Rattus norvegicus: one gene and its partner. The protein of the gene in region 1 binds, or shares a complex with, the protein of each later gene. Links are inferred from orthologs where the notes say so. Each region holds a gene or a part of one and is shown on either strand. Other genes may lie near its edges. The genes, in order: Arpc3 and Arpc5.

The links.
Region 2: Arpc3 (region 1) and Arpc5 share a complex: the UniProt entries of both Homo sapiens proteins name them as parts of the arp2/3 complex. The link is inferred for Rattus norvegicus from reciprocal best matches to the Homo sapiens genes ARPC3 and ARPC5.

What each region holds. Positions count from the first base shown.
Region 1 is NC_086030.1:39,844,434-39,848,942, reverse strand, and holds the start of Arpc3 (actin-related protein 2/3 complex subunit 3), read left to right. Parts: upstream 1-1,506; 5' UTR 1,507-1,616; coding exon 1,617-1,622; intron 1,623-4,509. UniProt on the Homo sapiens protein: Component of the Arp2/3 complex, a multiprotein complex that mediates actin polymerization upon stimulation by nucleation-promoting factor (NPF).
Region 2 is NC_086031.1:67,452,931-67,457,260, forward strand, and holds the start of Arpc5 (actin-related protein 2/3 complex subunit 5), read left to right. Parts: upstream 1-1,448; 5' UTR 1,449-1,510; coding exon 1,511-1,653; intron 1,654-3,778; coding exon 3,779-3,851; intron 3,852-4,330. UniProt on the Homo sapiens protein: Component of the Arp2/3 complex, a multiprotein complex that mediates actin polymerization upon stimulation by nucleation-promoting factor (NPF).

The DNA of each region.
Region 1 (4,509 bases):
ACATGCTGGCAAAGGAAATGCAGGAGTGACAAAGTGGGGGCTGCCTTAGTCTCAATCAGAACAAATGTCTGAAAGGTGCTGTGGGTCTAGAAGCAGACATGGGTATTCCAGTCTGAGGGACTGCCGTAAGAAAGGACTAGGAGACAGCAATGCACTGCATTCTGAGGAAGGTGCTTGGTAATAATGAGTTCATTATGTTCCAGGTATATGGTGGGCAAGATGGCTGGTCAGGTCCTGTTGCCACGCCTGATAATCCAAACTCCATCCCTGGGGCCTGTGTGGTGGAAGGAAAGCCCATTCACAAAAGTTGCCTTCTGACCTCAGGACAAGTTTGCACACAACAAGGGATTTAAAATGTAACTGACTACAAAGCAAGTTCTAGACTAGCCAGGGCTACACAGCGAGACTCTCAAAATACTTAGATGATATATGATGGGGTCAGTGGTAGGTCTGTTTCCACCCTTTCAGACATGTGGCATCACCTGGGCCCTTATAATACTTGGTTTTCTTGCCCACCTAGTCCTTACCGTGATCAGGAAAGACCTAACACCATACCGTGTTGAAAGAGTAGGGATGGGGCAGGAGAGATGGCTCAGCGGTTAAGAGCACTGACTGCTCTTCTAGAGGTCTGAGTTCAATTCCCAGCAACCACATGGGGACTCACAACCATCTGTCATGGGATCTGATGCCCTCTTCTGCTGTGTCTGAAGATAGCTACAGTGTATTCATACATGAAATAAATAGATAAATATTTTTTTAAAAAGTAGGGATGATATATGATACACATTTTGTGGATGGCAGGTCAAGGGGTAGGGAGACAGAGATACCACCGTAGGCATTATAAAACAGCAAAATAAAATAACGGAGTAGTGGAGCACACATCTGTAATTCCTGAACACAAGTGGAGACAGATAAGTTCATGTTCATATATATGTATATGCCAGCCTCGACTTCTTGTGACTCTTAACAACATAAACATTGAAAAATAAAAATAATGGCCGCCGGGGCTGGGGATTTAGCTCAGTGGTTAGAGCGCTTACCTAGGAAGCGCAAGGCCCTGGGTTCGGTCCCCAGCTCCGAAAAAAAGAACAAAAAAATAATAATAATAATAATAATGGCCGCCAAGTCTGCTTAGTGTGCAAGAGTTTCTGAAAACAGTTTATCCCGAGTCTCATAATGGGAAGTCAGATCTCACTTCCCCCACTTCCCCCACTTGCACTGTGGTTAAATTAAAAAAAAAAATAGACATGGCAGAAGGGTAAATCGGGGAACTGAGTGTTATTGGCTTTGAAGCTGAAGCCAGGGAATAAGGAAAAAACGGGAGTTGATTATTAACCACTTGAGAGGGATTCTTCAATTCTAAAGCCCATCCATTTTTTCTGAGTGCGTTTTACGCATGCGCCACACTCAGAGCTTACTGCTGGCGCGCCCCCTGGCATTCATTGCGATCAGTGCAGCTGTAGCAAACAGCGGAAGCGGGTCCGGAAGTGCGTTTATTCGCTTCGCCCGCCTCTTCCGGCTTATTTCCGCCCACTCCACCCAGTCTAGTTTGCCGGAAACGCTGCTCCGCTTTACCTGGGTTCAGCATCTCTAGATCGAATCCGGACACCGACAAAATGCCGGTAAGTCTTCGAGCCCCAAGGTCGGGGAGCCGAGCGGGGCGAGGGCCTGAGGGGAGGCGGGAGACCTGCGTCAAAAGGCCTGGGGGAGAGGAAACCGCCCTGCTCTCTAGCCCCGGTCCTTTGCCTCCAGCACCGGCTCTCTCGCCCCGCTGCTTCCACTCCCAAACCCCCAGTCCTGCAGTGTTCCCAGGTCCCACTCTAGAGCCTCAAACCTAAAAATGATGGCTTTTATTTTTAAACCTAGGGTCCAGCTTCTCCCCCCCCCCCCCCCCCGCTCTTGTCATGTCCACTTCCTCCTCCGCCCCAGGGAGTGAGTCGGCCTGCTGCTAATCACCTGTCAGACTTCACTTCCCTGATGGACCCCTTCCATCGTCCTCCCTGCTGTAACTCCCACCCAACTCCCAGACCACCACTGAGTCAGCGCTAGTTTCCAGGAGTTTCCTTTTCCGTGTGCATCCGAGTGGGAGGAAATTGATGCCGATTGCACATTATAAAGGGACGCTTGAATAAGGTCTACCTTCATTGGACAAGTGTTACTACTGAACTCTCACTGGGAAGCCAGCACTGTTAACAGCAGCAGCTAAGGCCCTCTCGGGGAGCTGATACTTTAACGGAGAAACAATAACCGCGTAAATATAAATAGGAAGTAGCTTCAGATCTTAACAAACGCTGTGAAGAAAATAGATCGATGGCAACGATGGTGGCAATTATTTCATCCCAAAACTTGAAGGCAGAGGCAGGAGAATAGCAAATCTCAGATCAGTGTGGACTGTGTGTGTAGTGAGTTCTAGGTCAGCCTGGGTTACATAGCTGTAAGAAATGGAGAGAGGCAAAAAAAAAAAAAAAAAAATACTGGGGAAAGAGCTTGTTGTGCGGGAGTATAGCAGATCATGCTTCTGACCCCAGCTCTGTTGAGGCAAAGGACAGTCAGATCCTCCGAGTTCATTGGCCAGCCAGCCTAGCCAAAAATCAGCAAGTTCTGGGTTCAGTAAGAGACACTGTCACACACACAAATACATAGTAGGACTGAGGAGGTGTCTCAGTGGCACAAGTGTGAAGACCTGAGTTTGGATGCCTAGCACCCAAGTAAAACAGCCAGGGGAGGCAGCTCCTGTGGGCAATTCCAGAGCTGGGGATGTATAGAGATCCCTGAGGCTCCCAGTCTGAAAAATAAAGTGAAAAGCAGTGAAGAAAGAGACCTGTGGCCTCCAGCTGGGGACATACACATACGTACCAGTATGCGCGCGCGCGCGCGTGCACACACACACACACACACACACACACACACACACACACACACACACGGGCATGCATGATCATGTGCAAAAAGTAAAACCAAACCAGTGCCTGATGACGGGTTGGGGGAACAAGGGACCTGGGGATGTGGGCAAGAGGTTGGCATAGGTAAGGCTTCTTAGGGCAAGCATAACCTTGAGCTGTGTGTGTGTTTGGGCAGCAGTGGGGAACTGAACCCAGGGCCCCATGGCATGCTACATACACAGATGCTCTACCACCGAGCTAGATTCCCGTGTCTTTCTTATTTTTGTAAAGGGGTCTCATAAAGTTGCCCAGGCTGGCCTTGAATTTGTTATCCTCCTGCCTCAGTTTTCCATGCAGCTAGGATCGCAAGCCTGCCTGGCATCACCATGTTTAGCCTTGGAAGATTTATGATTTTTATGGTTTCTGACTATTGAGGTACATGTGAAAACCCAGAGTTATTGTCCAAAGAGCCCCCAACTCTCAGGATGACAGTGTAAAAGAGATGTCCATGGCATTAATATCCTGCTGAAGGACTTGGGGCTCAGCAAAATTCAATGACTTGGGCAATGTTTTGTGGGGTTTTTTTTTTTTTTTTTTTTTTAAGATTTATTTATTTATTTATTTATTTACTTATTTGTATGGGTACAGTGTGGCTATCTTCAGACATGCCAAAGAGGGCATCAGACCCCATGACAGATGGTTGTGAGCCACCATGTGGGTGCTGGGATTTGAACTCAGGACCTCTGGAAGAGCAGTCAGTGCTCTTAACCACTGAGCCATCTCTCTCACCCAACCTAGCAGTGTTGCTCATGAGTAGTGAAGCCAAAGTTAAAGCTAGAACTGAAAAGCTCTGTGTGCAAGCCAGGTGGACACAGAACGAATGCTCTAGACTTAGTCTGTGATTGCTTATTTGGTCTGCTTTCTCTGTTAGCTGGAAACATCGTATATATAGCTTCATATCAGGAGAGACGGTTCAGCTTGCTGCTATTGGAAACACATGCACAAGGCGCCATGAGCTGGACCCAAACTGGGCTATCAAGCACACTGACCTGGGAATCAGTGCGGTTCTTGTCTCTTCTCCATTAGCTGGGGTCTAGCCTCATAGCCTTTCATGGCTGGCAAGTTTTAAGAGAATCTTCACGTAGGACGTGAAGGGCAGGGCGAAAGGGTGGACCCCTCAGGCCCTGGAGTTGCAGCAATGCAGACACATCTCAGGATAACAGAAGTGTTACCAGGTGGTGAGATGAAAAACCACCTAAGGGTTGGAGAGATGGCTCAGTGGTTAGGAGCACTGGCTGCTCTTCCAGAGGTCCTGAGTTCAATTCCCAGCAACCACAATTCTGTTCCAGCGTCCATACCCAGCAATTCATAGCTGCCTAGTTCCAGCTCCAGGGACCCCAGCGCCATCTGCTGGAGTGCGTGGATACTGTATACATACAGAAATACCCGTCCGCAGATACAAGCGTACACACAATTAAGATTATTTTTTAATCTTTAAAAAAAAAAGTCACACTGTCACTCGTATCTTGCACAGAAAAGGTGCCGAGCGGTCATTTGATGAATGAATGAATGAATGAATGAATGAATGGTTTCGTTCACACAAGACATGAAAAGCTAGTGGGAACCT
Region 2 (4,330 bases), on another chromosome or scaffold:
AATAAACACATTGCACATATACGCAGAATTTTAGAGTCTTTTTTAAGTATTTCTGCGAATTGAACCCTGGGGGCATTCTTGGGAAAAGCACATTAGCCCAATTTTGGCAATAAGAAATCCGAGGTTCCAAATTTTAAGCAACGTGCCTCAATCTCGCAGATTATGAGAGCAAAAAAGTCGAAACTCAGCCACTGCTTTCTGATCCCAAGCCCAGTGCTCTTTTTCAGTACTGCACAACAAACGAGGTAACTCAACAGGATGACATCCAGCCTTCTGCTGTTTGTGAAACCAGGTAGATCTGCATCTAAGCAGAGCATAGCCAAGTGTCTGAATTAATTTTATTTTGTAAATACGTGTACGACAGTATAATGCACAGAGCACAGCTATTATTTGTTTAATCTTAGTGCCTCTGACGGGAATGTGGAATATCGCAAAAAAGCTGATCTGGCGTGCCTTAAACAATAAATAACAACCTTGAAAGTCCAGTTTCTATTAATCCTTGCACACGCTATTTTCCCTCAGCGCCAGCGCTGAAAAGCCTAACTCGCCCACCCTCTTCTGGCATTCTTGCTCCAAATAACTACTTATTTTAAGATGTGATGACTGATTCTAGAAAATGCTACAAGTTTGCCCCAATTTCGCTACCCGTCCCCAGCCCCGGCCCAAGCATCTTTTCCCTCCCTCCAGATGGAGAGAATACCGAGTTGAGATTCTGCAGGTCCGGCCGCGATGCTGTCCCCCAGCACTGACAGGTAAGAAGTGACCTTTCGACTCCGTCCTTGGGGACCTCCCACCGACAGCGTGCCAAGATCCCAAGCCCCGGAAGGGGCTCTCAGCTCTGGAACGCAGCCCCCGGCGGCGCTCGGTCCGAATGGAGGGCTCCGATCACTAGTTTCGTGCTGGGCATCACTCCGCCTCATTCTCCCGCTGACTGCAGGGGACTAGGTTCTGCAGCCAGTCCATCCCACCCCACGCTTAAGTCCGACCACCCACACTTCACACCGGACCCCAACAACAAGCGGCTGGCACCGACGGCGGCAGCACTCCAGGCCACGCGCCCCAAGTGCCCATAGCCTCCAGCCCAAGACCCCCCGCAAGGCTGGACCGCAGAAAAGCGTTTCTATGGGAACCTCCCGGGTGTCACGTGACGCTCCCCGGCGGCCAATCAAGTCTCCCGCTCCGCCTCAGCCCGCTTTCTGTCCGCCCGCCGCCCCCGCCTCTCTCCCTCCAACCCCGCCCCTTTCCTGCAGCGGGCCCGCGCGTGCGCCGTGCGTCCCGCGCGCTCCCTGGCCGACGCGCGCTCCCGGGGGACGCGGGGGCGGAGCGGGGGCTGAAGGATGGCTGGAAGCTGAGGAGGAAGCCGCGCCGGCTAGCGCGCAGGCCCAGAAGCGAGCAAGCAGCGGCTGCCGGCGACGCCCCAGAGCGGAAGAGGGAAGTGAGTCGGACAAGGCTAGGCTCGCTGAAGAAGAGGCACCGCGGAGGGGAGGCCAGAGTTGCATCGCGATCCGGGATGTCGAAGAACACGGTGTCGTCGGCCCGCTTCCGGAAGGTGGACGTGGACGAATATGATGAGAACAAGTTCGTGGACGAGGAGGACGGCGGCGATGGCCAGGCCGGGCCCGACGAGGGCGAGGTGGACTCATGCCTACGGCAATATCCTTACGCTCGCGGCGGCCTGGGGTTGCGGGGACACGGGGACACGCGGCCAGCTGTGCCCGGCTCTAGGTGGGGACGGAGGGCAGGAGGTCCCGGGGCTATCAGGCCGCCTGCACCCCGCGGCCGCGCCTGCGAACTTGCCGGCGCCCCGATTCCTCAGGTGCGCTGTCCTAAGCGGCCGCACCCTCTCGGGGGGGCACCGGATGACGCCCTAGTGGGCACCTGAGCTCCAAAAATTCCTGCCCGGTGGGGACACGGGTCCCGCCTGGAGTCTTGCTATTCTGTCGGGTGTGTGTGATTTGCGGAGCGGGCATAGTTTATTCTAGCCAGGAGAGATGGAACAAATTGAGGCCCTCCGTACATTCAGCCCATGAGCTTTTTCCATCAGCAGTGTTATTTATTAAAAGAAGAGGGTTTGGGCAAGGTTGCATATAATTTATGAACAGGCTGAAGGGAGTTTTCTAATCCAAAATTCCCAGGTAAGGCTTTGAGCCTTTCACCTGCTAAGAAAAGGCTACTAGGAAAAGGATAGGGAATGCATGTAGAGAATCCCTGGGAATAATTTAAGATGAACCCCAGTGAATAAAGCAGAGAATGAGTCACTTCTATAAATCAAAATCGTTTTTCTGAAATTGTTTCCAGGCTAGTTAAAATATGGCTGTCAGTTCCTGGTTCCTTGGTTTGCATATCTGAATATTCATAACCTTGAAAATCATTTGCATTGATCCCTTAGAAAAATAGAAATGTCACAAAACCCCAAATTGGAGCTTTAGAAAACTCGTATTCATTAAGTCTGTAGATACATATCTCCCTCATCGATTTTCTACTAGATTATGATGAAGAAGTAAGCAGAAATATTTAGTGGTAACCACAGCATCGAATATATACATATATGTGCCATATACGTTTAACTTTCATTACCACTACTTCCACATTGGTTGCTACTAATTTATTTATTAAAATACTTGGGATTTTTTTCTTTAAAAAGTGTTCTTTAAGAGACTATGCAGGCTTGACAGTAGTTTATCACTAACTGTAGATAATTTTTATTAGACCTTTTCCACAGAAGTGGTGAGTTTATTCTTCGTTTAAAGAAATCTTTATGGTGGATATGATATTTTATTAAACTAATGTATTTTAGGTAATTTCTGGTGATTATTATGACTGTATCCATTATTAATTCAGTCTACCTTTTCATCAATCCATCTTATCCAAATATAAAGGTACTGTCTCTGGTTATAACTAGGAGCGGCAGCCCCGGTTGGGTACTACAGATGGAGGAACAAGTGACTCTGGTTCTCCTTTTAGGGAAATGACTGTCTTTTCTGACAGTCTGATTGGCCTTCCGTTTCCCGTGCTTGCTAACTCATTAGTGCTTTCAGTACGAAGTAGGTATGGAGGGTCCAGCCCAGTTTGAATAACCTGTAGGAAATAAAGTAAGCTGCCACCTACAGGTCGTGTGGGTTATTACATCATCTGGAGCCCTGTTCATCAATATGCAGCTATCACGGCCTGTCCCACTCTGATTGCCAGAGTAATCTGCCAGCACCTCAGTTAATACACAGTGTAGTTTCAGTATCAAGTTTAGGCTTGTTTTCCAGTAAGAATCACGCAGACAGGATGGAATACTTTGTTGGTAAACTGCATCATTCGATGGCTTAATTCTTAGGCATATTCTAAGACTTCTTGAATACCTGTCTAGACAATTGTGTGTATTTCCCTGGAAAGTGTAATCTCTTTGGTTGACAGAACAGGTCAGAACAATCTTTGCTTTTAAAAAAAATCATATTCTTAAGCGCAAGGCCCTGGGTTCGGTCCCCAGCTCCGAAAAAAAGAACCAAAAAAAAAAAATCATATTCTTTTAATTTCATTATTTTAACCTTTGGTTGACATATTGGAAAGAAACCCATACAGTTAATGACCATAGTAGTTTTTGTTACTGTTCACAAAGTCAAGTCTAACCCACCAGTCCCATAAAGTGGGGCTGCCTTTTTTTTGGTTCTTTTTTTCGGAGCTGGGGACCGAACTCAGGGCCTTGCACTTCCTAGGCAAGCGCTCTACCACTGAGCTAAATCCCCAACCCCGGGGCTGCCCTTTCTGTTATGCCCTTAACCTTCACTACAGGAAACATGACCGCTGCCCTACAGGCCGCTCTGAAAAACCCCCCCATTAACACAAAGAGCCAGGCAGTGAAGGTGAGTGGTAAACTACAGCGTTAATCCCTTCTGCTTCGCTATTATCAAAGTCCTCTGACACCTACCTTCAATGACCATTTTAACTATTTACTGTGCTTGACACGAGGGTTTACAGTGTGACTTTTGTTTTGAGACTGGACCTGAGTCTATAACCTGGCCTGAAACTTGCAGAGATCTCCCGCCTCCACTGGGATTAAAGGCATGCACCACCACATCCAGCCCGAAAGGAAGCCCCTGCTAAGTAGAACGGTCATGGAAAATAGGGCTGACATGTGGTTAGGACGCGTGGAGCACAGTAAACAGAAAGGGTGGGGACACCAGCTCTGTGTGTGCTTAAGGAGCAATCTGCTCGAGTTGAATTCAAACAGGTTCAAAAAACACTCAGCTGCCTCTTAATTCCCTAAGTTTTTCTTAATTATGTAAATATGAAATATCAGAATCAAAGGCATGAGCGCATAAAAAGGTGGTTTCCGTGCTAC